Linked DNA regions of Lepisosteus oculatus. The protein of the gene in region 2 interacts with the protein of the main gene of each other region in a pairwise test. Links are inferred from orthologs where the notes say so. Each region holds a gene or a part of one and is shown on either strand. Other genes may lie near its edges. The genes, in order: zrsr2 and srrm4.

What was found.
Region 1: the proteins of srrm4 (region 2) and zrsr2 interact in binary tests that used the Homo sapiens proteins (3 or more experiments, as listed by UniProt). The link is inferred for Lepisosteus oculatus from reciprocal best matches to the Homo sapiens genes SRRM4 and ZRSR2.

What each region holds. Positions count from the first base shown.
Region 1 is NC_090710.1:20,146,808-20,162,817, reverse strand, and holds the start of zrsr2 (U2 small nuclear ribonucleoprotein auxiliary factor 35 kDa subunit-related protein 2), read right to left. Parts: upstream 6,555-16,010; 5' UTR 6,492-6,554; coding exon 6,451-6,491; intron 5,975-6,450; coding exon 5,895-5,974; intron 5,767-5,894; coding exon 5,649-5,766; intron 5,233-5,648; coding exon 5,124-5,232; intron 3,896-5,123; coding exon 3,809-3,895; intron 1,168-3,808; coding exon 1,129-1,167; intron 867-1,128; coding exon 751-866; intron 1-750. Other genes in the region: rbb4l (histone-binding protein RBBP7), read left to right, coding at 7,304-7,319, 8,447-8,591, 9,338-9,483, 11,565-11,738, 12,246-12,361, 12,724-12,884, 13,083-13,209, 13,890-13,967 and 2 more. UniProt on the Homo sapiens protein: Pre-mRNA-binding protein required for splicing of both U2- and U12-type introns. Selectively interacts with the 3'-splice site of U2- and U12-type pre-mRNAs and promotes different steps in U2 and U12 intron splicing.
Region 2 is NC_090717.1:4,262,257-4,279,027, forward strand, and holds the start of srrm4 (serine/arginine repetitive matrix protein 4), read right to left. Parts: upstream 6,731-16,771; 5' UTR 6,138-6,730; coding exon 6,007-6,137; intron 1-6,006. UniProt on the Homo sapiens protein: Splicing factor specifically required for neural cell differentiation.

The DNA.
Region 1 (16,010 bases), on a different chromosome or scaffold from region 2:
ATCCTGCATCATGGTTAGTCCTGTCATTGGGATGCACATTCTCCTGCCAAGCTGTGTTTGCTCAGCATGCCACATCAGTGCTTTCATTCCATACTGTTACCTAACCAAGTCGTGCAGACTGGAAACAGTGTAACAGCTAGTTCATGATCAGAATAGCTCAATGATGGTGCATCCAAATTGCTCTTTGCTATCCGCATCAGTCTGCTGCAGTGGTTATGTCAACTACTCCACAAACTGAAAAGTCAGGAGAACATTGATGACAATTTAATTAAATATTCAAAATCACAAATTCATCTCACATATGTTTTTTTTTACTCTGCAAAGGAACAGGTAAAGGTTTATTTCATGCTGAAAAGAGAAGAAAAGAAACACGTTTAGGCTGTGTTTCTTTCTTCTTCGGGTGTGTTTTTTACCCTGCTGTAAAAGGTGCAATACTTTGGACAAGACGGTAAACCAGTAAGAAAATGAACAAGCATTCAAATTCCTGTTCTCAAATGTGTATGTTCACCGTCAGTTTTTATAATAATGTGGATCTATCTAGCGCACAGAAAACAAAAACAAAATGCAGGTAGTATTCTCCTAAAGCGGCCATATATTTGGTTTCTCCGATCTTAGATGGTGCCTGATTGTAGCGAATGAGGGATGTAATTCCTGCTCGTTTTCTCAGATTGTAAATGCATAGTTCTGTACCTAATGATAACATTTTTAAGGCACAACAGCAAACATAAAAGAAACTGAGCAACACTGTACCTGTCTCCAAACCGGCAGGCTCCTGTCTTGAGAAAGAAAGGGCAGTTTTCCCTGTCTTTCTCTGTCCCATAGTCCTCTGGTGCTTCAGGGTTCACCCATGTACCACCATTCCCTAGCTGTGCCGCAATCACAAATGAAAATTCCCAAGTCAGTGTTTATGGATTTCTAGAGCTCACACTGTATTGATAAAGTACACAGCCGTATTACAATTGTATGTTATACAACCTCCAGGGAAATTTTAACAGAAGTGAGGATTCTCCATGGTTTAAGGGTAGGATAATAACCAAGAATGTGCTGAAAACAGACTACTGTAGACTTGCAGAAATAAAAGACAATGTTGGTTTTAACATTAAGCAACAAAGGTGATATTATACCAACCTGACTTTCTGCTTCATCCAGCATTTTCTGCACAGCCTCCTACAAATGGTGCAAACACAGGACTGGTAAAGACCCTGAAGTGGGCTAGCAGATATCTGTTAACCTTGGTTAAGAATATATATGTAGCAAACATCACAGTAACAGCAACAGTTAAAGTATATGCCCCAACACAGGAATACAGAAGTATTAAATACTGCATATTCAGTGGGCAGTAGCATCAATACTACAATCTGGTCATTAGGCAGTAAAGCCCTCAACCTCTACAGAAGAGATTCTTTAAAAATACATTTCTCATATATGGAATTTATTATCAGATAACATTTATTTTCACAACAGCTGACCACTCAACTCTTTATCTACTTTGAGTTAATACATTTAAAATACGAACATTCTGGACCATTTAATATACTTTATCACTTTATCTTCCCCATCACACATTTTCTTCACCCTTTTATTGTGTTTATATTACAAACATGTCTGGAGTTACGAGGGATGTAATGCTAAAACTCTATTCTATTTTTCACAACTCTGTACACAAAATGCAGCTCCCTTTGGGCATTTTCTTCACAGGGAACACAACTTCTAAGCAATTGCCTCTCAGTCTTGTTTCTTTCAACTATATCTACCTTAAAGCAGCGTTAAAAAACAAAAAGACATGAAAATAAATACGAATAATTCTATTGCAATAAAGATCTTTTACTCTTTTACATCTTCCATGGCACGAGCTAACTCTGGATTTAGCTCATGTCTGGAGGCACTATGGATTACAACAACAGCGCTTTAATATCTGACTCTACTGCCAACTGATGAGCACTATTAGATGTTGGCAGTGTTCCTGTCACCCAGCTTGACAGATAATTAGAGGCTTCTGTGATGAACAAAACTAATTTCAGACCATTGCTTATATCTTTGAAGAATGAATATGGATCACATTTTAAAGAGTGTGAAGATCCAGACCCTTTCAAGAATTGCTACGTTGGGAGAAATCTGAAAATGTGAGCACCCAACGGATACTACAAAACAAGTTGGTATCACCCCATAGGTAAGAGGAATCAAATTAATTTCCTCTGCTGAGGTCTGAAGCTCTTATTACTTTTAATTCTTTGCTTTTTTTCCCCCCAAAATGGCCCAGTACAAGTACCTTGATTGCATATATCTGGGCATGGTTCAGCGAACTGAAGAGTGCTTTCACAAGGACCTCATGTTACATGTGAAATAATGAGGGCTGAACACAAAATCTAGTTGTGCTGAAACTGTCAAGGAAATATCTATGTTGTGCATATATTTATAGTTTTAAATGGGTTAAAAATAAAATCTCTGGTTCTTTAGTATATAAAAATTAAAATGTTGGCAAACGTTTTTCATATTAAAAACTGAAAAACAGGTTTATCGAAAGGAGAAGTACATTTCTCATAATTTTTAAAAGTTTTCCAACATGTACGGAATAAAACAGTCAAAATTAGTCTGAGTCAAGACAACCATTAAAGCAAAAAAAAAAGTACTTAGGACACATATCATGGTCGCATATGCCCAACTTTCTGAGAGGTTTTCAGCTTTTCAATCAAAGCAAGCATCTGCAACAGTGGTATTAATGCGTATTTCATTTCAAATGCAAACCTTTTTCCACACAGTTATGATGAATAATATTGATAAACATATGCATTTTATTTTGAGATCAGTATATTTAGCTTTAAAATCTAAAATAATTCATGATGGTCTATTTAGCCAAACAATAACAGCAGAAAACCTAATTGCATTATAAACTTTTATAAATAAAAAGATACTTTCTCATCCAGGGGAAGCAGGTGATCTGCAGTACAGTATCTCTTTGAGTTTATCTTGGTTAAGGAAGATCAGCAATGAATGGAACACAGCTTACTCCAGAAAAATAAAACAATTTTCTTAAGATTGTTAAAAAAAAATCAGCTTTAACATTTTTTGTTTATGGAGACAGCAAAAATACATAAATATTTTTGAAATGTCAGAGAGAGCCATTCTGATATTTTTCATGTCATGTACAGTGTTTTGCAAGGCATTCAAATGAAGTCTTCGTATATTCTATCATACATTACTATATTTCTATATTACTATAGAATATTACTATATTACCAAGTTCTATTTATAAAGTCAAATGCTAAACAAATAATGTAAAGAATCGCTTGCCTTCAGACTTGAGACCCAGTTCAAAATTTAGAACAGCACACCATTCTAAAACTCAAATGTAAATACCAATCAGTAATGACAACAGATCTACTCACGTGTTAATAAAAATATCAGGTGGAGAGTTAGTGAATCACTAAACTAAGAGAGGATGGCACAGGGGAATAGTGGGTAGCATTGAGCCTTGCAACACTGGAGCCCTGGATTGCCATCCGTGTGGAGCCTGCATGTTCTCCCAGTGTGCTCATGGGTTACTCTGGGTACTCCAGTTACCATCGCCCAAAAACATGCCAACAGGTTAATTGTCTTCTTTATAATTGGCCCCAGTGTAAGTGTGTGTGCACTGCAATGGTCTAGCGTCCCATCCAGGGTGTATCATGCCCAGTGCTTCCCGGGACAGGCTCTGGGCCACTGTGACCCTGAATTGGATAAGTAGTTACTGAAAGTGATGTGATGTGTGAACTAACAGAAACAGTTAGGATATGCTGCTCTTTAGCTATCCTCCAAGAGCAGGAATCACCTCTCTTTCTCTCTTCTCCTGCTGCTTCTGCTCTCTCTCTTCCTGCTCTTTCCTCTGCTGCTCCTCCCATTCCTCCTTTATTCTTCTCTGCAACAAGAATAAAACAAAGTCACTTTAAATCCAAAAAAGTTTAGAAAGGTCCATAAGCTAATAAAAACAGAAAGAACACATTTATAATGAAAGGTGTTACTTACACAAGTATCAGCGCTTTACAGGATGACAATAACAATAAGAAGACTACAACAATAGATAAGAAGATTTCACAAGATAAGACACAATTACAATTACAACAATAACAATAGAGGAGACCGTGGAAGTGGTACTAAGAAGAGCAGAGGGGTTAAGAATGGAACCAGTTAAGTAAAGGCTTTTCTGAAGAAGAAGGTTTTGAGTCTGGATTTGAAGGAGTTTAGAGAAGGTGACTCTCGGATATCCTTGGGCAAAGAGATTAACTGCCATAATGGCTATCTATTATCCTCCAGCTGCAATCTGTAACTCATGCATGTACTGAGTGCTGCAAGTTCACAAAGTTAGCAGAAAATATTTATTTCTTCTGTGGCAAATATACTGACATTTCATTGAACAGTCATGATATATTTCAATTTCTTCAGCAGAAGGGTCAGCAAGTGAGGTCTCAGGACCTGACCGATGCAGTGACATAGTCAGGATGTAGTAGGATCTTGTAACAACTAGACACTTCTGCCCAAGCCATTACATTTGGACCACATTGACTGGTCTGCTGTGAACAATTTGCATATATTACTGCATATCTGAGTCACATCGGGGTGATCCACACAAAACCTTGCTAAATTTATCATCCAACAAGTTCATTTTGGCTGACAAGTTAATTTAGGTTATTGATCTTTTGTTTTTTTCTTGATATTCAATAGGTTTGACATTTAATAGATTAAATACCAAAAACATCTATGCCCAATCAACTTTCTAATCAAGTGACTGAGTGTTTGTGCCACAGTTATGGTCAGCCAAGGGTATTACATTATGTTCTGAATGATCATTTAGTCAAAAAGACACCCAAAATATTTAATCAATATCCATACACTTTTTTTCTAAAACCATACAAGGATAATATGATATGCTTCTTCTGATCTAATTTTCCGATTAAAAGTAAATAATATACATGCTGGTCACTTAGCATTAGTTCTATTTCACCATATAAGGTTTAAGATAGTTTTAAAGACTTCATAACAGTGTACAACAGGGGAAGAGTTCTGGGTATATTTTCTTTAAACATACTGTCATGAAGTCTTAATTCCTCTCCAAAGTCTGTCTGTACATTGTGTTTTGTTGAATTTACCTCCTCTTCCTCCTTTTTCCTTCTTATTGCTTCCTCCCTCTCCTCATTCAGCCTGAACTCCTCCTGAGCAATCCTCTCTCTCTCCAACCACTCCAAGTGCAGACGTTGCCTAAACAGCAAAGAGGAAAATAATTTTCACTCTTGATTATTAATAGAATATAAATATAAGAGACCACATATTTACCGCCTTCTCTAGGTGGTGTGAGGTGATAACCAGGAAGTGAAAACCTCTTGATAACATTACAGTGACAGCATCAATTCAATGTATATTAAACCAGGTAGGCTTTATAACTATTAACTATTAAGCCAGGTAAGCATTACAACAGCATTTGGCTACACTGTCTTATTTTAAAAGAAAGGAAGTCGATCCAGCAAAGGTGAGGTAAGACAGAACATACACATCTCCATCTCCAGGAACATCAATCAAATGGAAAAAGCTGAGGAACGTGATGAGTTTGGCTTAATATCTAGACAAAGAGCAGCGTCTTTATGTGTAGCTGCTGAGATGGGACTAGGGAGACGAACCTTTCTTCTTCAGCCCTCTTTTCCTCCTCTTCGTCATCCTGATCTGGTAAAGTCTCATTCTCTGCTTCCTCTTCTTCTCCTACTTCTAAAAATGCAAAAGGAGTTGCAATTTTTTCTTCTTTAGAAAAAAAGAAATACATATTCAGAAAACTTAACCTTACAATTTTGTAGCAAACACCAAATGCCTAAAATATAACTGTTTGCAAACACACCATTTATTATTAAACACAACATAGTAAGCGATACCTGAATCCCTCAGTTTCGCCAAGGCTTGGCGCTTTTTTTTCCGTCTCTCTTTCTTTAGTGCGGCTCTACGCTGTTTATGGCTGTAAAGGAGAATAAGTGGTTATTTACACATACACTTAGGAACACACTACCCTTCGCCTGTGTAACCAAATAATTGCTCCATTTCCTTTTTATAACAAAATCTTATTTTATTTATCGGTAACTTATTTGCATCCGAGTAAACTATTCTGTGACCACAAATTAAGATGCCTGTAAGGGGATGCAGTACTTCATGTGCATATATCATACATTTCTAAAGTAAATTATATATTTCAAAGAAAACAGAGCAATATTTAATTTGAGGACTCTTAGTGCAAAGAAATACCAGTTAATTTATGTAGTTGCGTTGTCACATAAACGTACTTTCCAATCGAACCCTTTCTACGTGAAAACAAAGACAATCCCTACACCACATCAAACTTTCGTTTTAGTTTATACATATCAGTGCTTGCTTAGGTTCAATTTAAATGGGAGAAATCCTGTTGTAATTACTCTTATTCACAATTCAAAATACTACCTCAGTCCTGAATTCGTCAACGCTACCACGGGCGCTGCCATCTTTGTTTTTCTGACGTCACGTCCGGATCATAAGTGAACCGATTTCCTAATGTCATAGACGAGCTGTAATGCTTTTAATAGACCCACATTTTTAATAACTTCTACATCGATTGGCTTATATTACCTTTGACAAAAATATACCACCCCACTATTGTTTTTGGTGCAACAAAGTTTTGATTTATTTTTCTGAGGGCATAATTTGACAGGGAAAAGAAAAATCAGCTGTTGATATAATCAGCATACACTGCTATATGTGCTATTTTAAACTTTATATGTTCCATTTCAGTTCATTCAGTTATAGGTATTTAACAAATGGCATCAGTGGTATTAATGAATGGACTACAGTATATCCTCATTTAGGGGCTTTCAATCATCTTCTCTAAACGATTTTACGGTTTATCTAACACCGAGACAGTAGTTCTTCATTGAACATTGTACAGTCGGTGGTACTCATCAATAAGAAGCACAAAAACGTCTTGATAACGTATCCCATTGCCGAGTCAGAAAAAAAACTGAAAAGGCCCGCTCTTTAAAAACTCAAACACTGCCCAACTTCCCCTCTTTGAGCTGTGCAGGTTCAGGCGCCTGTGCGGTGAACTCTGTGGTCTGAGAGGGCGCAAGCGCACTGGCTCTCTGGCGACGTACAGGCGCGGATTGTTGAAAGGGGAGTACAGCAGGAGACTGATGCTAAAATTAATATTTGGCGCATATAAAACCTAAAATAAAAGGCGGCGTTGTTTCCCGTGAGCAAGCGTATCTCATTGTAATACCTTAATTCGCGACGTATATTCGCCAACAACGAGGGCTGAGTAATGGCGGACAAAGAAGGTATAGTAGGGGCATGCTTGTCCTTTATTGTGCGTGTTGCTTTATCCTGGTGTCGACTGATTTTTTTTTCTCTGTTTTGACCGCTGGAAAACAACCCCGAGAGACCCTGCATTGGTTAAAAATTGGTTTAAAAATTCCGCTGGAGATTTGGAAAGTTGGAAAGTGGATAGAAAACGGAGTTTGACTTGATTTCCTTAAAATATCCCGTTACATTTCGTGTTGTGAATTATCTACTCCCCTTTGTTAAAAATTCTAGCATAAGAAAAGAATTAGAACTGGAACTTTGTTTTTGCGATTGGTGTAGAACAGAGTGCTGATTGTGCTGTTTTCCCTCTAAAACACACATGCAAATACTTCGAAGATTAAAGTGACTCTGCTTACTGTATCCCTTCCTTGGGGCTGCGTAGGAATATGGTTCTTGTGTTTAATTTAGATGGTACTCTGAATGTCTGTCTAGAGTTAAGATTGACGCAGATACAGTTCTACAGAAATCCAGTTATTGCAATGGAAATCAAAACCAGAGATTGAGGGTCGATGGCAAATTTAAACTTGAGCATACACCTTTTATCTTGGCTTAAAAAAACAATATAATAATAATAAAACATGTACTGTGAACATTTAGAATCGTTCCTTTAGCAACTAATTTCAAGGAGGGGGAGTTGTTTCCCTGCCTTTAAAATGCACATCATTAAGTTTGGTTAAGGGAAGTGCAGTTCAACCGAACAGGAGTGATTTCTGCACACAAAGGGTTGTGGGAGTCTGGAACAAGCCTGTTGCCATGTTGTTGAATCTGCAACCCCAGGATCTTTCACAGAACAGCTGGACGAGATCCTCTGACCAATCACCATTTAGCAACCAAGCGAACTGTATGGTCTGAAAGGGTTTCTCTCCCTTGTGTCCTGTGTTCTCCTTTATGTGGGAATTGGGATAGAAGGCTGTGCCGTTTGCCTTTGTAGGTTCCAGATGTCAACAGAGACACGCAGTGTTAGCTGAGCATTTTTCTTTCCTTGATTTTAAGATACTGAGGGTTGTGGGAGGCGGATGACATAAGGGAGCTGCAATTCTGTTTTTCTTTTGAGAAAATGCATGGTTTTTCAGTGTCTCACAGCTTCCACTGTGTTTTGCAGTGTATGACGATGCAGTGGAAGAGAGGGTCATTAATGAGGAGTACAAGATCTGGAAGAAGAACACACCTTTCCTGTATGACCTTGTAATGACACATGCCCTGGAGTGGCCAAGCCTGACTGTGCAGTGGCTGCCAGACGTCAATAGGTAAGTCATGTTTGGAAGCCAATGTGTTTTAATGGGGCCCAATTCAATGGGACAGAAATAGAACTTAAGGATTAAGTTCAGTTTAAGGATCACTGTTAGGGATCTTATACTGTATATGTCATTGTGACCAAGTAAATTCTGGGTTTGCTAATAGGCCTCCGTACTGTGTGGTGGCTTCAGAATGCAATACTGTTTGCATTTTGTCGTCATCAGGAGTTATTTGGAATGATCTTCTGCTTTCATTTGGGTTTTCAACATTAACATCTTGCACCATTGAGGCATGGTGGAAAAAAATATCCCAGAAAATGTACTATAAAGCAGTAGTGTAGCCATTTGCAGAATGCACTGCATTGTTACCACCCTCTAGGCGATCTTGTCAGATTATAGAAGCTGCGCAAGGCTGGGGTTGGTCAGTCCTGGGATGGGAGGCACCTGAGGAAAACCAGGCTGCTGCTCTAAGGGGTGTTATTAAATCAGTAGGTGGGAAACCTTCCTCTCAACCAAGATTGTCAAGACCAGTGTGGTGACCTAGATGCGCAGTAAGAGGTGCTGGCCTCTGGACAAAACATTCTACTAAGATCCTGACTTATTATGACTTCCTTTACTTAAATAGTTAAAAAAAAGAATAGTACCTAATCGGGTCTTTTTTAGTGCAGTTTCTCCCGTTTCCATTTAATTTTTATGACTTATAAGAGGTACTTTCATTTTAATGCTCATGACTGTCGTATGTGTGTGTGTATATAAAGGCCTGAAGGGAAGGACTATGCCATTCATCGGCTGGTGTTGGGAACCCACACTTCAGATGAACAGAACCACCTGGTCATCGCCAGCGTGCAGATCCCCAATGACGACGCCCAGTTTGACACCTCCCACTATGACAGCGAAAAAGGAGGTGAGACAGGCTGGTGTGCCCCATAGAGTGTGTAGTGTCAGATTAATGATGATGATGATTATTATTAAGCAGATGACAGATTTTGTAATTGCATTGAAAACAATAGAGGATGTAGAAGTACATTCTGCAATTAAAGCAATTGCAGACAAAAAGTCTGCTATTTCCATTCAGTTCTGAGCACAGGGATGAATCTAAAGGTGTAGCCTGGGCAAGGGGGTCTTTGGGAGATGCCAGCTGAAGGTCTGAGACAGTGCAGTGGTGAAGCAAGGGAAGAGAGGGGCAGGAGAGGGAAGAGAAGAGCAGCTAATTATCCTGCAGAAAATGAGCAGAGAGGCTGCCGGGATATAAGGAAAGAGGAGGGATTGGGGATGGGATTGGCGCAGAGCGAATGTACGAGATCTTAAATCTGGTAGAAGCAGTGATGGTTGAATAGGAGAAGCAAGGGTGCTGAGGAAAGGATGAATTGTGCATCTGGACCAGACTGGTATTGGAAGAAACCTTTAAGATGGGATTTATTTCTTTCCAAACGAGAATGAAGAGGTGTTTCATTTTTAGGTGGCTTTTGTAAAGGTTAAATATTGTGCCCGTGTAACTTGTAATGTTGTTTCATGGGAGATTTGTCTTTTGTTTCACTATAAATATGTTTCACTCTTTTTTTTTTCCTTACCGTCTTCTAACAATGATCTGTTTTCATTTTTTTGACCACTGAATTATTTGGAGGTACAGTGGTTAAATGTGACCGATAGAAAAAGGTCATATTTCAGTCCTATACGGTCCATCAAATTTGAGGAATTTTTATAGTCACGATTTATAGGTTGGTGAAGTGAAAAACGTGAAATGGCAGAGGAACCTTGTCGGATTCCGGTACGAGAGCAGTCGGATTTTAACGTTTTTGTAGGTGTCCTTGAGTTCTATCAAGCTTGATATGCAGCATTTTGCAGATTAGTTTTTAACGTTACCCTTCAGTGTGTCTTTTTTGTTAGAAAAGTGTAAGGGAAGTGGACTTGTGAAACTTCTATAAAATAACGCTCTTTCATTCTCCCCTTATCAGCAGGTAAGCGATTCCTCAGCTGGGCTGCAGAGGGAAAAGATCCTGGGGGTTGTGGGGCACCAGTCAGCACGGCCAGCACACACCCCAGGTTACAGGAGGGGATGAGTCGCAAAATGAGCACCTTTCCTGAGGTAGTATTATACATTCTGGGGAGCGCACCGCCCTTTTTGGAGATTTTGGGATGCACTCCTTCTCCAGCCTTCCCTGTGCAGTGAGGCTATAGGTAACATGATCTGGAATAAATTATCCTTAAATTTATATACACTTATTTAGCGCTTTTCTGGACACTCCACTCAAAGCGCTTTACAGGTAATGGGGATCCCCTCCACCATCACCGTTGTGCAGCCCCCACCTGGATGATGCGACGGCAGCCTTAGTGCACCAGTACCCTCACCACACACCAGCTATCAGTGGGGAGGAGAGCAGTGTAATAAAAAAAAGCCAATTTATAGATGGGGATTATTAGGAGGCCATGATTGGTAAAGGCCAGGGGGAAATTTGGCCAGGACACAGGGGTTGAAACCCCTACTCTTTTTGAGAAACGCCCTAGCAAGAGTAAGGTGCCAGCTGTTCATTGGCTATGTTTACTAACATGGGAAAATTAACCAAAAGATCTGTAATTGTGTTAAAATATATAGCTGAGTTTTGTTCAGGAACATTATGAAGTTAGTCGTTTTCCTCTGCATTATTGTGATGCTTGTGTGTGTTTTAGCTTCCAGTTGAACTTGAGATATTGTGAAGGTTTTTTTCGTAGTCATAGAAATCATATGATAGAGTCCTGACTGCACAGAGATCATTTGCTTTTTTTATGATTGGCCTCCTTGTTTTCGGGATTTGTTGTTCTACTGTGTTTTTGTATTGCTATAGGGTTTCTTTCAGATTAAGCATTTAGCTACTTGTGTATGATGTAACGGGTTTAATGTTGTAGGACAGGTGCTTTTTATCAAAGGAAAAAAAACATTTAACAGTGTCGATTCAATTGCAACACATTTATTGTTCCTGTTTTTAATTATTTTTGTATTCTCTTTAGAATTTGGAGGATTTGGATCAGTGAGTGGAAAGATAGAAATTGAAATCAAGATCAATCACGAGGGAGAAGTGAACCGGGCAAGGTACATGCCACAGAATCCCTGCATCATCGCGACAAAGACGCCAACTTCAGATGTCCTGGTTTTCGACTACACCAAACACCCCTCCAAACCAGGCAAGTGAACGTGGACTTTTTTCAGTTGTATTCAAAATGGGCCCCTTCAAAGCAGTTTTCTACCAAGTAAAGGAGGTGTGGATCTGTGAGGGAAACTAATAATACATCTCACAACAGGAGCTTGTTTAGCTGGTAAAATAAGCGACCTTCCTTTTAAGGCTACAGTTTTAAACGGGCAGTGAGGAGCCAAGCCATGCTGCGACGTGCTGCAGGTAACAGCTGGAAGCAGAAAGTGTGAGTGTGGAGTGAAGACCTGGGTCTGCTGAAACAGGGTCTCCATCTGTGTAAATACATAATTCATATCTATTTGATTCGGGGCTGAGCAAATTGAATTTGGAAGCAGAACCCATTTCCTGCGCATGCTTGAACACCGACTCTGCCTCCCCGGGGCTGTGCGGTGCTGGCAGTGGAGTCTGCAGCCGCAGGCGCGTAGCGAGGGGAGCGGGGCTCAGCTGCCCGAAGCCGGCTGTAACGCGCCCTGTTTCCTTGCCCCGGGCGCTGCTGCAGACCCCAGCGGCGAGTGTAACCCCGACCTGCGGCTGCGGGGTCACCAGAAGGAGGGCTACGGGCTGTCCTGGAACCCCAACCTGAGCGGCAACCTGCTGAGCGCGTCGGACGACCACGTGAGTGCCCCCCGGGGACCGCCGCGCCGTGGTCGCGTCGTCGCGGCACTTCCAAATGCCAGATCAGCAGCATTGAACGAGGTGGTGGCTGTAGGGCCAGATGTACCTTGATCTTTTGACGATTTTCCTGTGAGTTCACTAATTCACCAGTGCTGTAAAGTTTCATAGATTCAGTTTAAGCCAAACTTTCCATTTGGCTCAAAATGGTATTACGGAGCTGGAGCAACTGTGCCGTGACGTTGGGTGTAATAGGCTGCACATCGCTCCAGGAAGGGGCGGGGTTAAAAACAAGGCTCTAGCTTCTCTGCTAGTTTCTTGCGCTTTTAAAACATCTGAAATGGCTATTTCTTCTCTTGCTCTAGACAATATGCCTTTGGGACATCAGCGGAGGACCGAAGGAGGGAAAGATCGTCGATGCCAAGACGATCTTCACCGGCCACACCGCGGTGGTGGAGGATGTGTCCTGGCACCTGCTCCACGAGTCCTTGTTTGGCTCCGTGGCCGACGACCAGAAGCTGATGATGTGAGTGCGGATGAGCGTTCCCACCGTTCCACACCATCTCTGGAGATCCAGGCGGACTCTTCAGGATATACGGACAGAGAAACTAGGCGGAGGGGGGGGCGTTTTGCAAAGGCTAAATCAGCCTGTGCAGCACTGTCCGGTTCTGTAACCTTTTCCTAAATCCTGCGACTAACCGTACGACTGGTGTGTCTTCCCCAGCTGGGACACGCGGTCTAACAACACGTCCAAGCCCAGTCACTCTGTGGACGCCCACACTGCGGAAGTCAACTGCCTGTCCTTCAACCCCTACAGCGAGTTCATCCTGGCCACCGGCTCCGCTGACAAGGTTTGGACGTCTGTCCTCCGCTTTACTTCCAGTACGGCAGAGGGTCACGAGAAAGCGTTTGTGCTCTTTTTGGCACAAATGCTTTGGTGGTTACCATCCTCAAAGCTTCCATCTGCTCCACCACTTGCCATCTTGAAATCTTACCATTGTTGCCTATTTGTGTTTTAACATTAAGTCACAGGAAATCAGGTTGCAGCCTTTGTATATACTTCACCTTGTGACAGAGCTGCTGCAGAAAACGGATTTTCAATTGTAAACCAGTCTCTAATCATTTTGACAATGACATGCACCGTCGTCTGTCACCCTTGGCTGGTGTGGATCGGGTTTTGCATGGAGGAAATTGGATTCCTGTTGCTCAATATTATGACTCTTGACTTAGATAGGATTTTAATTCATTTAAATTATAGAGATGTGTACAACAGTGAAAAGAAAACCGATGGAATGTGCTTTATTTTTTGTGCTCACCATATGTATTTGGAGGACACCACAAAGAAAACACTCAAACTCAAACTGACAACAAAAGAGCTGTACCCAGAATTTTTTTTTGCGGGGGGGGGATCCCCTTTGCGGTTTAATATCTGAGCTCTCAAAGTACAGATCAAATGCAGATGCCCTGCTTGTTTTGCGAACAGTGCTGTTGCGGTGCTGTGGCTCTGGTCTCAGTTGATTTTGTTCTTCAGACGGTGGCCCTCTGGGATCTCCGGAACCTCAAACTGAAGCTTCACTCCTTTGAGTCGCACAAGGATGAGATATTCCAGGTAATACTCAATATAAAGGGTGGCATAGAAAGAAGAAAGCAAAGACTGGATAGGGTGTCTACTCCTTGGTTTCCAAATTAGAGAGGCTCTAATTCAGAGTCCTAGATGGGAAGTGACAAGCCTTTGTTCCTGAGAACTGCTTTATTTACCACACAGAACCTTTCAAGACTTACAAACAGTAGAAGTACAACTATACCAGAACCCTGTAACTTGACTCCCTCCCAATTACACTAAACCCATGTAAATTACATATTACTACTTCTATAAATCACCTTCCGATAGCAGTTGCACATAAACCATTACACCTTTTATTGTCTACTCTTATGTTGAATGGTGTGATGGGGTATGGGATAGCATTTCTTTAGTTCATTTGAGAAATTACAAGGATTACAGCAAAAGTCATGCTCCCGATTATTTTTCTGAGAAATGATTTATTATAGTTGAATGCAATTACACCATAATGGCAATAAAGTGCAGAAGCAGCTGCTATTATACCGTCATCAAGAAAGCTTTATCTTTCTGTGAAAACAGTGTCTTCACATCATCCTCTGATTGAAAAAGATGCCCCAGTAGAGAATCCTGCAGAGTGGACATGATCTGAACTATATCTCATATCACTATGGGCATTCCCCCTTCCTTTGTTCACAAATTCAATTACAGCTCTCGGCTTAAAGCACGGCTGACATTTCGGCTAGTTTGAGCTCTGCGCTTATATCCCGGAGGTGGAGCCGCAAGTTGGAAATAATGGAGTCAATTGCAATAAAACATTGCTCAGAAAAACATCGGGACTTCTGGGTTGGCCCACGTATTTGAGGGTCAGCCCCTAACTTAAACTGTTTTTTCAACGTATTGTTGTGTTATCACAATTCCTCAAGACTACAGAGGGCTATCTTGTGCATTTACAATCAGAAGCGTATGCTGGCCTGAGCTTTATTGCACTGACAGTGAATTACTGACTTCATTGGCAGGTGCAATGGTCCCCTCACAACGAAACCATTCTGGCTTCCAGCGGCACAGACAGAAGGCTTAACGTCTGGGATCTGAGGTGAAACTGCCCTTTCTCTTTTTGACCTTGGTGTCTTGTGTATAAAACCAGCATATTTCCCATTGAAAGCAACTTAAGGAGATATCGACCTGGAATGTATCTGCTGTTAGTGTCTGATTTAAATTGTAGATGTTCAGGAATGTTAGTGGTCAGTTCTGACTTCTGTTTTTGTTCATGTAAAATCATAGCATTTAAACTAAGTCTTTTTAAAAAAAGCTAAACAATGTTTCTGGCTAATTATCCACAACTGTAATCCTAAAGAAACACTGTTTAAAATGGGTCCCAAGTCCTGCTGGAAGCCAGCAAGGCTGCAGAGCTAAGGTAGGCTTTCTCATTTGACAGTTACTGCCAGTACATGTGATGAGTAGTGAAAATATTAGCGTTGCAGTTTTTAATTGTTCGAAGAGGTGAAGAAAACTCAGCTGATACCATTTTTCAAAGTGTCGTATTTTATTTTGAAACCTCCACAAATTTTACCTCTACTCTGTAGTGTAACCCACACCTTGTTAAAATGTTAAGTTCAGTTTTTGAAACGGCATCAAAAATAAAGTCCTTGTTGTCTGTGCAGCAAAATTGGAGAGGAGCAGTCAGCAGAGGATGCAGAAGATGGACCTCCTGAGCTTCTGGTAAGGCGTGATGAAAGGCCGAGTCTCCAGAGTCAAGTGGATGTTGTATTGGTGCTGACGATACAGCCCATGTCAGTGAACCAGGAAGACAATTGCTAAAGACCTATGGGATATGCCAGCTGGCATCTGAGCCCCCATCTTTAGAGGAGGAAATACTCTTTGCAAGTGTTTCATTTTTTCAGTGACCCCCCTGTTACAAACAAGGACCAGTTGTTTTCTGAAACACCCCTCAGTCGGCAGAAAAACACTGTAGTGTGAAGGGTGCTGTTTAACTGTTAGTCTTCATTGGAGAATGAATGTAGCGGTGATGACCGACACCGATTGATCTATATGGGAGCTGGATCCGGTGAGGGCTACCAGTTTTTTTAAACC
Region 2 (16,771 bases):
AAACAGAGTCCAAAGGTAAAATATTAAGCAAGAGTGTTCAAACGTCTTCCTCAGCTCACAAGTTTTCCAAAATGTTCAAAAAAGTTCTCTAAAGTCCAAATTTGTTCAAAATCATTCATAACATGCTAAGTTCCTCCCAAATATTCCTTAATGTTCCAAAGAACTCCCACAAGTTCAAATGTGATGTGAAGTTTTCACCGAAGTTCAAAATGCCAAGTTACTAACTCAGATTTCTTAAATAGATAACAGTTCTTGCATTAGTTTAATTAAATTGTTTAAAAAATTACCAGGATAAATAACAAAAAGATCTTACACAATATAGTCATATTTTCAGCTGTACTAATATTTCAAACAAAGGTTTCCATTTGTAACATGTTCTAAAAACATGCCAACATTTCTCATTAAATAATTAGTGTTGACATTGAGTTGAGTAATAGTTTTATGAAAATGAAAAATAATCTTTGTCAATGAAATTAAATTGGAAGAATAAAATGTTGCTTCTTAGCTGTACTCATATACAGATGTAGATTTTGTACATTCATTTGTTATAATTCAGCTCAATATTTTTTTTTACTTCTTGTCTTACTGTCTGGTAAGGTTGTCTTGTCTTACTGTCTGGTTGTCCAGCTCCATGTCTGACTAGTTTTTCTGTGTTGCTGTGGTAAGGGAACTGTTCTGAACAACAGTGCAGTTACCACCCACTCTCTGAATTTCTTTGCCATTAGATTAGAGTGGAGTTATTCTTAAACCTCTGAAGGCCACTATGTCAGCCATTCAGCACTGCAATAGCAAGACACCAACAGCCACGCTGAACTTTAATTGCTTTTCAATCTTTTTCAGCTCTGAACTGGAGAACACAGCACTACAATCAGACTCTGGTGCAGTACATTGTACAAGAAAACAGTATTTGTGGAAAGCTTGCAGTTAGTTTAATACTGGAATAGAAAGAAAACCTACAAAATACCAAACAATAAAACAAAATTTGATCTAGAATATTTTCACATCGATTGCCCAGATCAAAAAAATGGTGCTGGTTTGGTGAGGTGGTCTCTCCCTTGAGCCTACTTACTGTTGCATAAACAATAACGAATGCTAAAAAATAGTTTCAATCTAATTGTTACTTATTGTATTGTACTTGGTCAGGACTATGTATTCTGTCTGCACAATAAAAATGAGTTTGTGCTTGATTCATCATTACAGCTGTAGCCATCACATTATACTCTTCTGATATATTCTCTGGTACAACACAGTGACCATTGGATTGGTAACTGGTCCATTTTTATGTCAATTTTATTTAAATTCAATGCTGGATAAAATGCTGTGTAGGTGGAACCCAATCACTTTAAACTTAAAAGTGATTTTTCAAGGGTGGCCCAACAGCTTTTTAAAAGAGCTTTGTAATTACATTTAATAAACAGCCATAGTAACGGAATAAATTTGGAGCCAAAATGACAAAAATGTGATTTGAAAGAAGCAGTATGCCTCCAAGGCTTTCAATCAGGTACATAATAGCAGCACAGTTAATTAGACTGTGCTTGACAACATGTGCAATCAGACATTACTAGCCTTACGTCTCGTTATTCATTCAGGCTGCTGTACAGTACGTTTTCAAGACGAAGAGTTAAAAATGTGTCAAAAGCAAAATATTCCCCTACTAGATTTTTCCACCTCATTTGTGAAAAGAAATATATTTCCCTTAAAACTATTGCTTGCTAAAGAATGTACATAAGAATACGCTAAATTTGTAAAATGTATATCCCTTATTTTCAGATAGATACTGTATATTGTGGCACAATATGGGACAAGGGTACAGAGAGGGTCTTTATGGAAATCTAAGATATATCAAATATTTATCATTTTGCTTATTTAAATTCAGTGGCTTGGTGAGCCCATAAGCACAAACTACATTTCCCAGGTGGCCAGTGTTGATTAAGGCCAATGGTATATTTGCCCTGAGTTAACTGGGCAAAGGAGTTCTCAATGAAGGTCTGTGCTCAGGTACATAAGGGTGTGACAAACAAGAGACACCTTTTAAGAGAGGCTAGTTTGTCAGGCTGAATCTGCTTATAGTCCTATAATCAAAATAAAGGCTTTTGGTTTAAAATAGTCAGCTGATTACCCATCAAGCCATTTTCCAAACCTGTACGGAGGGACCGCATAGAGAGGACTTTTGGAAAAGGAGCAGGTATTCTTTAGTTTTTTTTCTTTTGAAAGTACCAAAGTCTGTTGCTCGGAGTTGGATCATCAAAATCCTGTTAATTAAAAACAAAGCGCAAGGACAACTTCACATTTTCAGCACATGCAATCTTCTCCCTATGTTAGAGGGCAGGATAAAAAGAGCTTGGGTGAAGTGACCAGCACCCCAGTGCCTTTTGTTGCAATGCTAATGCTCGTCCTGGGGACCCACACACTGAGTGGTGTGCGTTGCAGTCAAACTCTTTATTTTAATTAATCCTTAACTGAATCAGCAAATTGCTGGGTTGAACTCATTGCTAGTTTTACTCTATAAAGCTTGGAGATCTTAAGGGACTTATATCAAAGGACATTGTGGACATTTATCAGTCTTTCTTAAGGGGATCCACTTCATAAAGGGATACTGTATGTTTAGAGCATGAATCAAGCATTATTTTAATAAGCAAACAATTCTGATCTCTGTTTCCATTAAGCACTATATTTTAACAGCCTTAAAGGATATTCATACTGAAGATTTTGTATAAAGGCACAAAAAAACATTTGAACATCAGAACCACTCAGTTGCTTAGTTATTCTAAAAAATAAGTAACTTTCAAATAAAGAGGAAATGTATAAAACCAGAAATGCTACAGTCCAGTTCAACATTTGCAAAGTGAAAGACAGACTCTTGGAGGAAAGTGAGGATTTTATGCCGTTTTAGAAAACATCTTTGACGCTGTAAAGTCTAACTGAGTTGAGCAATGCACATCTGCATGATGACAATTTCAGCTCAGGCACATCATTTTGATTGTGCTCCGGCAATACATATCACTGTGCTTGAGCAACTGCAATTACAGGATGAACAAAAGTTCTTGCAAAGTTTTAGTGGGTAGAGTGTGGGACCGGCTAAATAGATACTCATCAGTTTAATATCCTCCGCACTACCACTAAGTACTCTAGACCACAGCATGAGTCAAGCAAGCACACACAAAGAAAAGAGATGTGCACTATTTAGCCCTGGCTGGGTAGCAGAGCGGTATAGCAGCGAATGATACTGCCACACAACGTTTGGGTCCTGGGTTTACTTCTGGGATAGGGTGCCTTTACTATGATTTGCACATTCTTCCTGTGTTTCTATGGGCTTTCTCCATGTGCTCCAGTTACATTAATGTGTGTCTGTAAATAGTGTCTGTGCACTCTTTGAGGGTCCGATATCCCCTCTTGTGCCTTGTGCCTAATGCTTGCAGGTTGACTCTAGGTTGTCACAAGTCCGAACCAGGAATAAGCAGCTTGCTGATAATGGATGGGTGTATGCATAAACACAATTTCCTTCATGGTGGATGTTTTTTCAATGAACACGTAATCCCTTGTCCTTTAGATCAGGCTGATACAGGAGTTTGCTTTTAATCCCCTCACTCTTTTCCTCTTCAAGCTAGCATCTGTTCAGGAAGAGGCACTCACTCTTAGCCATCCCCTCTTCTCCCTTTCCATCTCCCTGCTTGCCATCTGCTTCAACTCCGGTTAGGTCTCCTCCCTCCCCCACCTTCTCTCCCCCTCCAAAACTGGTTGCATTTTTAATGAGCCTCACCCTGGTACAAAACAGCTTGCAGGATATAATGACCCAGAGAGAAACCCTCCAGCTGGAGTGTTCGTGAACACATCACCCTTTTTTCCCCCAGAGTTGAAAGAGGGTGGGGGGAGGGGTACCTCTCTAATTACCCAACGGCAGTCAGCAGGGGAGGCTATAGTCAGCTCCAGTGACGTTTGAAGAAAAGGACAATACATAGAAAATGAAAGGGCAATAATTACACATCCCCATTCTGTAGTTTCCTTTTTCTCTGCTATCAAGCATTGTCAAATGCCCAGTTCAGTGCTTATGCACTGCAGTATGTTACTTCAGCAAAGTGGAAGATTGAGGCCTGCTTACTCAGTGGGGATGAATGCTTTCGATCTGCTATTACAGTACCCACAAATTCTGTTGAAAGAGATATTTCCCTTTAAACAATGAATGGCTTTGGATCTTTCCCAGCATAAGTTCCTCAGGGTCTTCTCTGTGTTCTAGTGTGTATTTAAGAATGGATACAATAAAGAGAAAGAAAACCCTTCCAAAGCTTAACGGTGGCTTAGTTACATGTGATTTTTAAAAAGGATGCTGGGTTTGTAATCTGTGTGCCACACCTGCTAACATCCTCTCAAACACACAAGAGGTGAGTTAGATCGAGCACAACTATCAAACAATGCAAAAGTGACAAGAATGAAGATCATAATTTTACTGGGGTATACTGTATACTGTATGATGTTTTACTATCACACTGAATATATTGGATTCTATAGTATTCAGACAGGATTCATGTTTGAAATTGCTCGGTTACACTTTATGTAGAGAAATTATAGAAACCATATAGCTATAATAAGAAAATAACAGAGGGCAGACTTTATTATTGTTGTGCTTGTTCTGGAAAACCACTCTCACAAGTAATTAAATTTGGATTATACTATGCTATGGAAATGCAGCTGAATATATAATTGAAATACTAGATTAGTTTCAAAGAAAAGCCCTTATTCTGTCAGAAGGGAGTATTTCCCTTATTTCACATTTTCTGTACAAATTGCTTATAATTCATCAGTCAGTTTTGTTAAAATAAGAAGCTTACCTAAAAAAAACAAGTAATCATCTTCACCAAGCAAGTAAGGTATTAGCAAACTGTCATGTCTTGATATTTATTTTTTAGGAAAATATATTGACACATTCAAAGAGTAGCTAACTACATACATATATCAGTTAGGGAATTTTATATCATTAGTACTTTTGTAAACGTTTAGTGTCTCTTATGCCCCCTCTGATTCAAAACATTAAGAAGAAATACAGTATGTTTATTTTACAAGCTAATTCACTTATTTACTCACATAAAAGCCACATTTCTAAAATAATGCAAGTGGTTTGAAAAAAACAACTAAATGTTGCTTGCCTGTCATCATTTTAAAGAGAAACGGGTTTTAACTCTGAATAGTTTGAAAAATAAAAATATCGGAAGACCTGAAAAACATTGTAATGCTCAAATGTATTATATTCTGCAGTGCTCATCTGCTAACTACACAAACTGGCTACAACTTTGTATGGCAAAGAAGGTTTCTGCAGACTTCAGTCAACATTTATGAGCCTCTCATAACGGTCTGCCCTCCCAATGACTGAATTAGGATTGGGTGAGATAAGAGTTGTCAGCGCTGGATCTTTACGGAATGTAAAGACAGCAAAGCTGGGATAAGAGATACTGGCAGAGCACACAGTGGTTTGAAATGAATCACAAATCACTTTTCACTTGCCAATGCTAGCTGCTGATAATCCAACAAGTCACCTTTGTGATACTGGTGAAAAAAAGAATAAATAAGTAGAGCAGCTCATATCTGACAAAGGCAGAAGACAGTTCAGATCTTAAGGCAGAAAACTCATCAATTTTTGTAGGTAAAATGCAGTTTTTACACAGTTTGCCCCTTTTTGGCAGGTCACGCAGACGTTTCCCAAAGATGTGTAATTTATTAACCATTGCCAGTTATGAGGAAAGTTAGGTGTGGAGCCAAAAAGCTTTTAAAGACAGCCTGTTCCTCTGGGCCTTTTTCTATTTTCATATTTTGTTTATAACATGATGCACTCAGCAACTCAGACAGAATCAATTAACTGAAAAAAAGTAGACAAATGTATCCGAAATTAATCAAGGAAACGAATTAATCCGAACCATGTGTCTTAAGTTCGGTTTTAAATTCAACAAATAGCCCTATTCTTCTCATAAGTTAAAGGTATAGTTAAGTGGATCGGTTTGAAATGAAGGCACTTACTTGCTCAAAGTCCTTCTGGCTGTTATACTGGCTACAATGATGCTTTCTGGTCTCGGAGTGGCCACAGCTTTGAAGGTTCCCTTCCAGAACTTTTCAAAGAGCTGCTTCTCTCCTTGCTGCACGCTGGCCATGGCTTGCTGCTCTTCAGACTGGGCTCGTGTGACCGAAGGCTGGAAGTAATGGGGGGAAGTGGCTGACAAGGCTGCTGCTGAAGCTTCAGTCGCCGCCTGCTTGCTGCTGCTTCTCACACACAACACTCCTGAGCAAGGGAGCTGTCCAAATACTGAAGCCCAGAGCTGCCGCAAAAGCCTTTAAGTCTCTTCAAATGCCAAGGAGCAATCAGTTACTGCCGTTTCCTGTCTTTCTGTCCATGTGATAATGCTTGCTCCACTAGAGACAATGTGATGTCACAAAGGCTGCACGACGCACCATTTATTTAAGGGTTATCATTATTTTCACCATCCCTTGCCTTCTGTTCATTTGCCCATGGATTTCTTGCTGTCACCTGCTTTGCCTTGGTTCAGGGGAGGCAAGCCAGTGTCCAGTCCACTCACCATGAGTTCAGTCTGCGGAGGCTCTGTCCGTGCCGCTGGATGTGAGCTTCGAAGAGAAAGCCAGTGCGTAGCCAAGGACAGTGTAGTGTCGTGTGGCTGGGAGAGTGTGCGTGTGTGTGGATGTATGTGCCCAGCTGACGATCTCTTGTTTTGTCTCTTGTAGGCTCTGACGTTGAAGCTGGGGTTGGGTCACCAGAGTAGGATGTCTTTTCTCTCTCTCTCTCTCCTCTCTCTCTCCTCTTACTCTGTCTCTCAGTCTTCAACAAAAAAGCGGAGCCTGCTGGTTCCATCAGCATAACAAAAGGCAGCAGGTTTTGGAGAATAGGCATTACGTGTGCCTGACACAATGCCTCAGGGGGAATTGCCTGAAACTTCCCACAATGCCTGTGTGTCATTTCTCTTTGACCCAGAGGTGCTCAAGGATGGAAGAGAAGCCAGAATAACAGCCTTTTGTCTTATGATAAAGCAAATTCTCAAACCACCTCATATGCTCTATGATATCCTCTGTGATAGATGTAAAAAGTTACGGATTCATTTATCTGTTTTTGCTCAATTCCATGTTAAAAATGAGTATAATGTTCCAATTTAGCTTCATGCTCTTGGCGTTGATTAAAAAAGGTACTGACCAATTGTGTTAAGTGAATGTACATCAGAATTATCTGGAATCTTAAAAAACCAAGGCCGAAGCATTCAGTAAAAGGATTTTAGTCTGAAACTGAAAAAGTAAGCACTACTACTTTTTCTTCTTTACTGAACATAGATGTGTGATGTAAAATGCTACAAGAAAGTGTGGTGGTGAAAGTGTTATAAGTGTTTTTTTTATAAATCAAGACATTTTAAATGTATTCGACATATTTTTAACTTCTAGTTGCTGTCTTGTTGAAAGAACTGTAAATTGGTTTAAATACTTTACAGATGTTATAAATAGGATTTTCTTACAGTATTTTAACACTAAAATATACAGTACACTAAATATATGCAACAGTGAATTTCACGGAGCCTAGTTGCTAGTTGCTGTCTTGTTGAAAGAACTGCAAATTGGTTTAAATACTTTACAGATGTTATAAATAGGATTTTATTTTAGTATTTTAACACTAAAATATACAGTACACTAAATATATGCAACAGTGAATTTCACGGAGCCAGCAATAGCAGATAGGTTTACTACAGCTGAGTGCCCACATTTCTATTACCAACCTGGATACTGGAAGATCTTGTTCAGTGGTCTGCTACACAATTTTGGATTATGATCCCATTTCCAGGGCTCCTAAGGTTCCAAAGAGCACATATCTTGAGCCATGAATATGTTCATATTTTATCTGCTAAAAAAACAAAGATATTGGCAGAGATACATGAAAAGCATCCAGCTCCTAAACCCAAAAGAGACAGAGATAGTCTTCTTATCCAGACTACATATCTCCATGTGTATTGTGTAGCGTGTTGCCTCTAAAAACACAATATATTACAGTAGACTCTACTCAATGTATTTATGTTTTGAATTGATAAACATTTTCAATACAATCTTTGGGTCCTTTTTTCTGATTTACTCAATGCTTAGGTCTGGCACAAAATGGTAATTAGGAAATAAAGAACTAAAGTGTTATTTCAAAATAACTATTTGTGTTTTTTCCAGTATTCTTTAATTGTACCACATTGCTTCCAATGGATCCCTTGAGTTAGTATTTAGGTTTTGCAATTTTAGAAAGTCACTACCAAGTGTAAAATGCAGTATGGATTAATGCGTCAAAGCTACTAACAACAGTGTAATGTGGTTGGCTCCTGGGCGTTTAACTTTGACTGCCTTCATTAAAATGCAAACTGTGATTAGCAGAGCATTCTATGACTCCAGTATGTCCAGTCTGAAATATGATGATAAGGTATTGCATTTACATTTGGTCATGTTTTTTGCAATTGCTTTTTTTGAACCCCTTTTCAATCTACAAACCTCACACACCTGAGCCCAATCAGGTCTGCTCAAGGCAGAAAACCTTCCTGTCAAATCTTTCTTTCAGAGGGAACTAGGTCATAGAATAAAAACTTAATGAGATGGCAAAAAATGGGGAAACTTTACTCTTTTCCTTAGCATAAAATGGTTTCCTAAGCATTTAGGAAACAAGCCTCAATGCATACAGTGTATATATATATATTATTGAAAATAATAATATTCCAAAATGTCACAATCGTGTACTGTGCACCTTCTAAATTTAAACTTAGAAGAAGGACACCTTTTACTGTTGGTGTTTAACCATTTAGGAAAGGATAAAGAACTATTTTTAGTGTCTTATGTGGGTAATGGTTTTAACTTAAGCGACTAAAATTAGTATTTATTTATACAGATTAACTTTTTAGTGGAGTAGTCTGAATGAAGTACTGTACCTAGCTCATGGGTACAACAGGAGGCCCCACCTGGAATCTGAATCCACAAACTAATATTGACTAATATGATTCTGCATAGATCTATAAGTAGCCAACTGTATTGTTCACACTACTACCATATTCACTTCATTGTCAGACATGCTAACGAGTTGTGGCATTTGAAGAAGTGCACACATTGACACTTCAAAGTGAAGGAAGAAAGAATTCCTAAAGCAACAGCCAAGTAGATGAGTATTAAGCACTGGTGCTGACACAAGAACGTAATGCTTTTTCTTTGGATTTGTATGGATGCAGGAATCAAATCCCATTTAAGGTTTGAGATTAGTTTAATTGTAACGGAAATGGCGATTTCCTGAGAACATTGAAGGAGACATATAAGGCGTATTTCCCACAACAGTGTTACAGAGGGTTTTATAGGCTCTGTACGTCCAGCCATGCTGTTGCTATGAATGGGGGTTTAAGAGTGATCATTTCCCTTGTGGTCTAGTGGCTCCTTCTGATTATGTTATCTCACTTTTCAGCTATTTCTGAGATATCATGTACAACAGCAGGTGTCGGTTTAAAATTCACTCAAGCCTGGTCAGGAGTTATGACCCCAGGCCAGAGTCAGATTTCTACAGATTCATATTTTTTTTAGATTAGTTTTGCTTGTGTATGCTTTCTCGGTTTTCGGTCGCACTCCAAAATGAGTCAGTTAAAGTAAAGGAAATCTTTTCAATTACACCTCTTGCTGTTGCAGAGGTATTGAGCAGAGACATGTTGTGCAGTCAATCTCCCTAGGTAATTAAACTGCATACTGTAGCTCTCCACCAGCCCTCCCTCTTTCTGCTTCTTAGCTACAGAGATAGATAAGGTGTAGGGGATTTATATTAACATGTTCTCTACAGTTCTCCAACATTCATGTAGAAACATCAGTAGCTGAGCAATGCCAATCCATGATTTTTTGGTAACAAATAATTAACATTAATTCAATCTGTGAGCTGAATAAAGAAGTAAGAAGCATCTATATTTAATGTCAATAAAGTTTCTTAACAGAAAGAACAGCAAAGGTCCCATTACAGTTCTGTACTTGGTAAATTACTGGCTACAGAATGTTATTATATTTGGAAATTTTGTGGCATTAATAAAACATGACAATTTTCATAGGCACTCACATTTCTCATATTGTTCAATTAGAGGGAGCTCTATAATGATTTCTCAATTCTCCTGCAGTTTTGGGAGCTTCACCAAGTACCATCTGTAATCAGTGCCCTGAATCTCATTTCTGTTAATAAATATTAACACAGATCAAATTAAATAAACAGAAGCCAGAAACTATCAGGTGATGACCATTGACGAGAGTCTATGACCTTCATTAAAAAATATTCGAAAAATTCCACTAAGTGAATTTAGGCTTGTTGGCCGCCCTTGGTAATTGCTGTTTGTGTATTTTTAGAGCAGCAAACTGGTTCTTGTCATAAGTTTTATTAAGGCTCAACAAAGGGGTGAAGGGGAGTATGCATAATTGTCTTTCCAAGTGCTCCTGAACCGTTGAGCTCATATCGCACAATCACTCCCTAAGTTGACACTAACTGGCATCCAATTCTGCAGACTAGGCTTAAAAAGACCCATAGAAAAAGCATGATAATACTTTTGCTGAGGCAGCGGGAACAGATACAGTATATAGATTTTGTAATGGAGATGTTTTGTGCAACAGTGATGGAGAAACCTTTCTGTAAACCCCCATTATAAAAGAGAACCAAATTAACAAACAGGTGGATTTGAAGACTTCAGTCCCTGAGCTAATTAAAAAATTTCTGACACAGCATGATTAATTGAAGGTTTCAAAAACACCTACATTGCATTTACAATGGCATAAGACATACAGTACAGTATATCTTCTTAAAAATGTCATTCCACATGTGGTTTACAAAGTGAAGACAAAATATATATGGTAGCTACATATCTGTAAATCAGTTGCTTGTTTTGTTACATACAAGTGCAAGAGATAATGAACTGTATATTTGTTTTTTTGAGTATCTCTATATAAAGCACAGAACATCAGCTTAAAGAGACTCAGACTGGGTAAATGGTAATTGAGCTGGAGTTAGACTTGACAGTGACAGCACCATTTTCGCCAGCTTCTTAACGGAAAACTGAAAATATTTTCTCAGGTCCATTGCTCCAAGACAAAATGGTGAATGCTAACAGAGTGTGAAAGATTCCCCCAAATTTCTATCAAAATCAGTAGGAAGGCAAAAAAGCTCAAATTTCTGCATGTAAGGCACTGTAAACTGAATATTTGAATAAAAATGAATGTACTAATAGTCAATCATATAGTATTTCCTTAAAAGGATAAAAACTATTTTATTTGTTGAATGCAAGAGATACTGTATTAATAGTCGCGTATCTTTGTTATTTTCATTATATGAAGTAATGTAAATTAAAGCGACATCATTTTGTTAATATATTATTTGTGCAATACCAGTGATGATCCTCAAGTTTTATTTAAAGGGTAGCTGCAACACTGTTTTTATCTTCATTGATGAGTGTATTTCAAACCACAATAAAAGTACACAGTAACTTTTAAAAATCTCCAATTTACATCACAAAATAGACAATTTCAAGGTATGCGCAACACAATATTCTGCGATTCAGGAGGAGACAATAAAACTTCTGATGATGTGATGCAGCCCTATAACATTGTAAATAAGCAGGCTTGTGAATATCTCTTTTAATCCAATAAAAATATTGCTCTCAATTTTGAGACAGTTTTCTGGACAAATGCTATTTACTTGTTAACTCTGCATGCTGATCAAGTTGAAAGATTTCTGTGGTGAAATGTCTGCTGCACAGCCTGTACTTATTCACTAGTACATCACATTACATTAGTCCTTATGGTGACTAGTGAGCAGGAGGGGCTGCAGCACCTTGTTTGTGACAACATACAGTAGCAACTTACAGTACTTTCACAGAGTTCACACTTTTTTTGTGAAACCATGTCAATTAATTAACAGTATTGTGTTAACGAGATTTAATAACCAGTCTGAGAAATTGGGACTGCAATTCTCCTTTAATTGCATACATTATTGTATTCATTAAAGATCTGCCATTCACTCACTTACAAGCCTCAATATCTGGGTTATTTTAAAATATTTTTTATTTGCTGGCTCCACACATTTCCTGAAGTGGAGAGTATTATTTTAGAACCCTGACACTAATACATGAGAACACAAAATAGTTGATGAGGGACAATAATAATAATAATAATTGCTTGGACACTCCACTCAAAGCGCTTTACAGGTAATGGGGACTCCCCTCCACCAGTGTGCAGCCCCACCTGGATGATGTGACGGCAGCCATAGTGCGCCAGTACACTCCCCATACACCAGCTATTAGCGGGGAGGAGAACAGAGATATGAAGCCAATTCATAGATGAAGCCATTAGAATATACATATATGTTTGTAAGTTATATTAAATTGCCTCTTCTCTGAGGTTGTACAAGGCATACAATCAATAAATTATGAAGCGTGTCAAACTAATAAAAATACCCTGCCTAGTACTGTATGTAAAAGACTTGCTGTGGCTTTAATTGAATGTAATATTTAACAGCACTGCTAAAAGCTTATAAAGTACTAGGAAGGGGTCAATATAAGTCTGTTATTTTGAGAGACATGACAGTGATAAGTAAGGGTTAGAGCGCCGTTATTTTTGTGTGCTCTTTGTACTCTTTCAAAAGCAAAAGGCACAGCATCGGATACTGAACAAGAAAAAGGTGAGAGGTTCTTTCCCCACACTAAATTATACTATCATCACTGTCACTCAGCTTTCACTCATAGAAAAAGAAGCTTACAGCATAAGCATCACATAAGATAAACATACATTTTTTATAGTGTGGTAACAATAACTTCAATATCTCACTGTTTTAGAAGTCATTTACTTACTACTGGTTCTATATAATTCAAACATCATTTTTACATCAGTTGAGGATGGATAAAGGAGGATTTCCAAAGATAACCATATTTACAGTATTTGTTTAAAATAATTCATATTTATCTGTAGCCTGTGCTTTGTTTTAAAATGTATAAAATGCATTACAGAAGATTTATTGCTGGGTGAAGAGAATCGGAGATAAGATTTCTTCCTGCAAGAGAAAGACACAAGACTTTACAAGGTTTTCCTCTTTTTTGGTGTTTTAGCATCAACGTTGACCACTTTCCCTCATGGCTTCTCGCTTATTAAAAAGTTAGCTTCCTAATAATATCTGATGACAATCATGTTTACATTTTCCCTGTAGAAATCGCGCTGTAGAAACAGAAATCTAAAAATATGCAGCTGAAAACAAGGAGCTGGTGTGTGCGTATGATAGTTCATTTATAGACTGTCTGGCATTGTACAAACAGGTTTAAGTGAACACAGGAGACTGAATTTCACTCTTCTGAGACAGCAGGGAGAGCAAATAATTGACCCAAGGCATCCTATTTATTTTGGGTAAATTGATTCTGCCTATCACAGAAGCTTCTCCTTTCATTTCCAGACTTAGTACTTTGCAGCAGGTGGTACAGATTTAATTGGTACCCAATGCATAAAAAAAAAACAACAGCAGCAATCAAATAGGAAGACATAGTGAAAGTATTTTTAACTTTTTTTTTTACTAGAAGCAATGACCTGACTTTTAACATTTAGAGTGTCCGAAAGCAAACATGGAGACCTGTTTTTCTGGCTGATTTTTTTTTTGGGGGGGGCATTGGACAGTATCTGTAAGTGTGAAATAATAGGCTGAGATGAAAAATGAAACATGTACAAACAAAAGAAATACAAAAGTCAGTGCTTCTTTGGAACCTATTAAACTCACTGTGTCAAGCGATTGATAAACATAAGAATTTAACGTGACAGTTTGCTTCATACACATCATAGGCAAGACCTTCAGTGAGGATTTGAATTTTATCATTCATTTAGTAATCACATAATAGTCTGCAAAAAGAAAGACATAAGTATGAACACAGTTATTCCTGCAGATACAAAAACAACAGACATACAGTATAGAAATAGTGAAAAACTGTTTTTTCTTTCTTATGATTTCTTTAGGCTGTCATACCTCTGCATTCCTAAAGACATTGATGACTAAGAAGGCACATGAATGAATAAACCTTGATGTAGGTTTATTCATTCGTGTGTGAAGACTGTCTAATCACACACAATGTATAGAATTTGCGTAGCTATGTTTCTGCTAGGTTATATTAATAGGTTTTTCAATGTGTGACACAGTAATTAGAGGAAGAACTGAACCTTTTAAATAGAGAAGACTAAAAGGGGACCCAATTCAAGTATCTAAATTTCCTCAAAGGTACTGAGCAAGTCCACCCAGCATACAGTACATCTATAGAATCAACAGTGACAAAAACCAGAGGATACAAGTGGACAAGCTACCTGGCCATGTTGTTGAATCTGTGGGTTATTTCCATGCTGAAAAGTAGAAAGAAGAAAAAATGTGAGCTGTCAGCACAAATTCTATGTTATAATCTTTGCATGTTTGACATACTGTACCCGAAAAGGTTCCAGACAAAATATTTTTTTCTTCTTTCTTTCTCTCAGTGCCGAACCTATAATGTTTTTGAAGTGAAATATTGTCAGAAAAAGTGTGATTTAACCGTTGTTGAACCTCAGCATAATTCAAAGTCGAAGTTATAGAATTACCTGTTTCTAGAACAGATGCCTTTGCCTTATTCCCTTTTGTTTATTGTTAAGACTTCCTTTCTAATGCTCTGGGCTTGAGCAGCTGATGATGAAAAAAAAGCATCACAGATTGATTTGCTGTCATAATCTAATCAATTAACCTGATTCATGGAACCGGTGTTGACAAACACAAATTCCCACTGTAATGACTTTTCTGTGAGCATATTTCAATCTTAATTACAGGTTATGATTTTTTTCTTTTCTGCTTAAGGTCTTCCCTATCCTCTGAGGCTGTTGCCTGGTTACATACTCCATAATGGATTGAAATTTATTTCTATATACGCATTATCTATCTACTATGGGTATGAATATTAATGGGCTTTTCTTTCAATTACAAATCTACAGGAGATGGAACTGTCTTATGACTTATTATTCAATGTGTTTATGGATATTAAGTCAAAGATACTGTAGCAGCCAAAGACAGCCGGCTATATTTGCTCATGTATTATCGCTCATATTATTGTTTAACTGCATGACATAGTTAACTTTTGCCAGTAACATATGTTAAATACTGTATGTTTTATGTTATATCTCTCTATCTCTATCTGTTACCCTCCATAAGACATTAAAGCATACTGTATATGTGCAAAAATACCCAGAAAAAAGGTACAGCAAAAAGTTTAACTTCACTGTCCCAGTATTTATGCACTATATCTATATATGAATTAACGTATTTCATAGGAGAGGGTGCGAGTTAAGAACAGAGGTTTTGCCTATGGATAGACAATATAACACTCATCATAACCTGAAGATGTGATCATTTTGATATCTGTTTACTACATATAAATGAATGTACAATACCTTATTAGATTGCTGTGGTCCATCTTATAATCTTTCAGTGAACCATCGTTGCACAAGCTCTAACTCATATAAAACACTGTTCTTTTGTTTTGTTATATGTTAATTACAATCATTATCCTCAGAGAAAATCTGTTGCCTATACTTGTTTTCATAGTGTATTGGGAACTCTGTCATTACTGATATACATCTGTTGTACATCTGTTTGCTCAGCGATACATTTTTAAATCAGAAATTGGAGGGGTATCCCTGCCAGCCATTCAGTGAAAGATACATAGAAACCTTTGGTTTGACTGATATTTAACAAAACAACTGCAGGATCCACTGGGAGCATTCAATTTAACGGCTTGATATTTTCCTGAGAAGTGGAAAGTCAGCTTGTATATGCTATTACCTTAAGGTTTCCTGCTCTTGCCCCTCTAAAATTGAATCTGACAAAGAGTGGAGAATATGACATCTGCAGTAGCTAGATCTACAGGAAACAAAAAGTAATTAATCCCCAAGCTTTTACTGTAGTCTCAGGATTTGAGATGAAGGTCTGCTAATGTATAACCATTAGCTTGTTCCATGTTTAGTTTTAGACCCCCCAAAAATGACTGTAATAATCTAATATTTCAGCTGCTTATCCATCTTTCAGAAGAGCAATACACCATGTCCAATTGAGTTGTTTAGGATTTCGCCATTATTTAGAACGATTGGAATAGAAAAGCTTCTTTTTCATGTCTAGAAAAGATATAACAATTAACAATATTGTAATATTGATGTTTCGATTATATCAATTCGAGCACGAACGAAAATTGCAATGTAATTACAATATACTGTACAGTGCCCATAATTATATTGCAGTTTATACCTACAATCTGGTTTATTCAAAATGTAACCAGGGATAAAGCTAATAAGATATTTGTTCATGTGACCAGCTTCTCGTTTTAATAATATTATATATGCTTTATTCTAAAGCAAACAAAAAAATGTCTTCAAAATACTTCTTTTAAAGTGTCTTTACTGCAGATAAAGTAAAGAAATATATAAAGGAAAAATACCTTTGGATTCTCGCAACTGTTTATTTTGTTTATTAATATTAGGTTTTTAGAATTAATACTAATATTGTAAACAATACTATGTCAAAAATACCCATTCTTTTATAATTGTGATAGCTTATGGGCATACTTATAGTTTAATGACCTAAATTGTGTGGCACTTAATCTGAGAATGAAATTAGTACTTTAACTTAGTGAGACTTTTTAGCCTATAAATTTGAATGATCATTTTCAACAGCACATCACACAGTCATCAATGTAATATATAGAACTCTACCAAA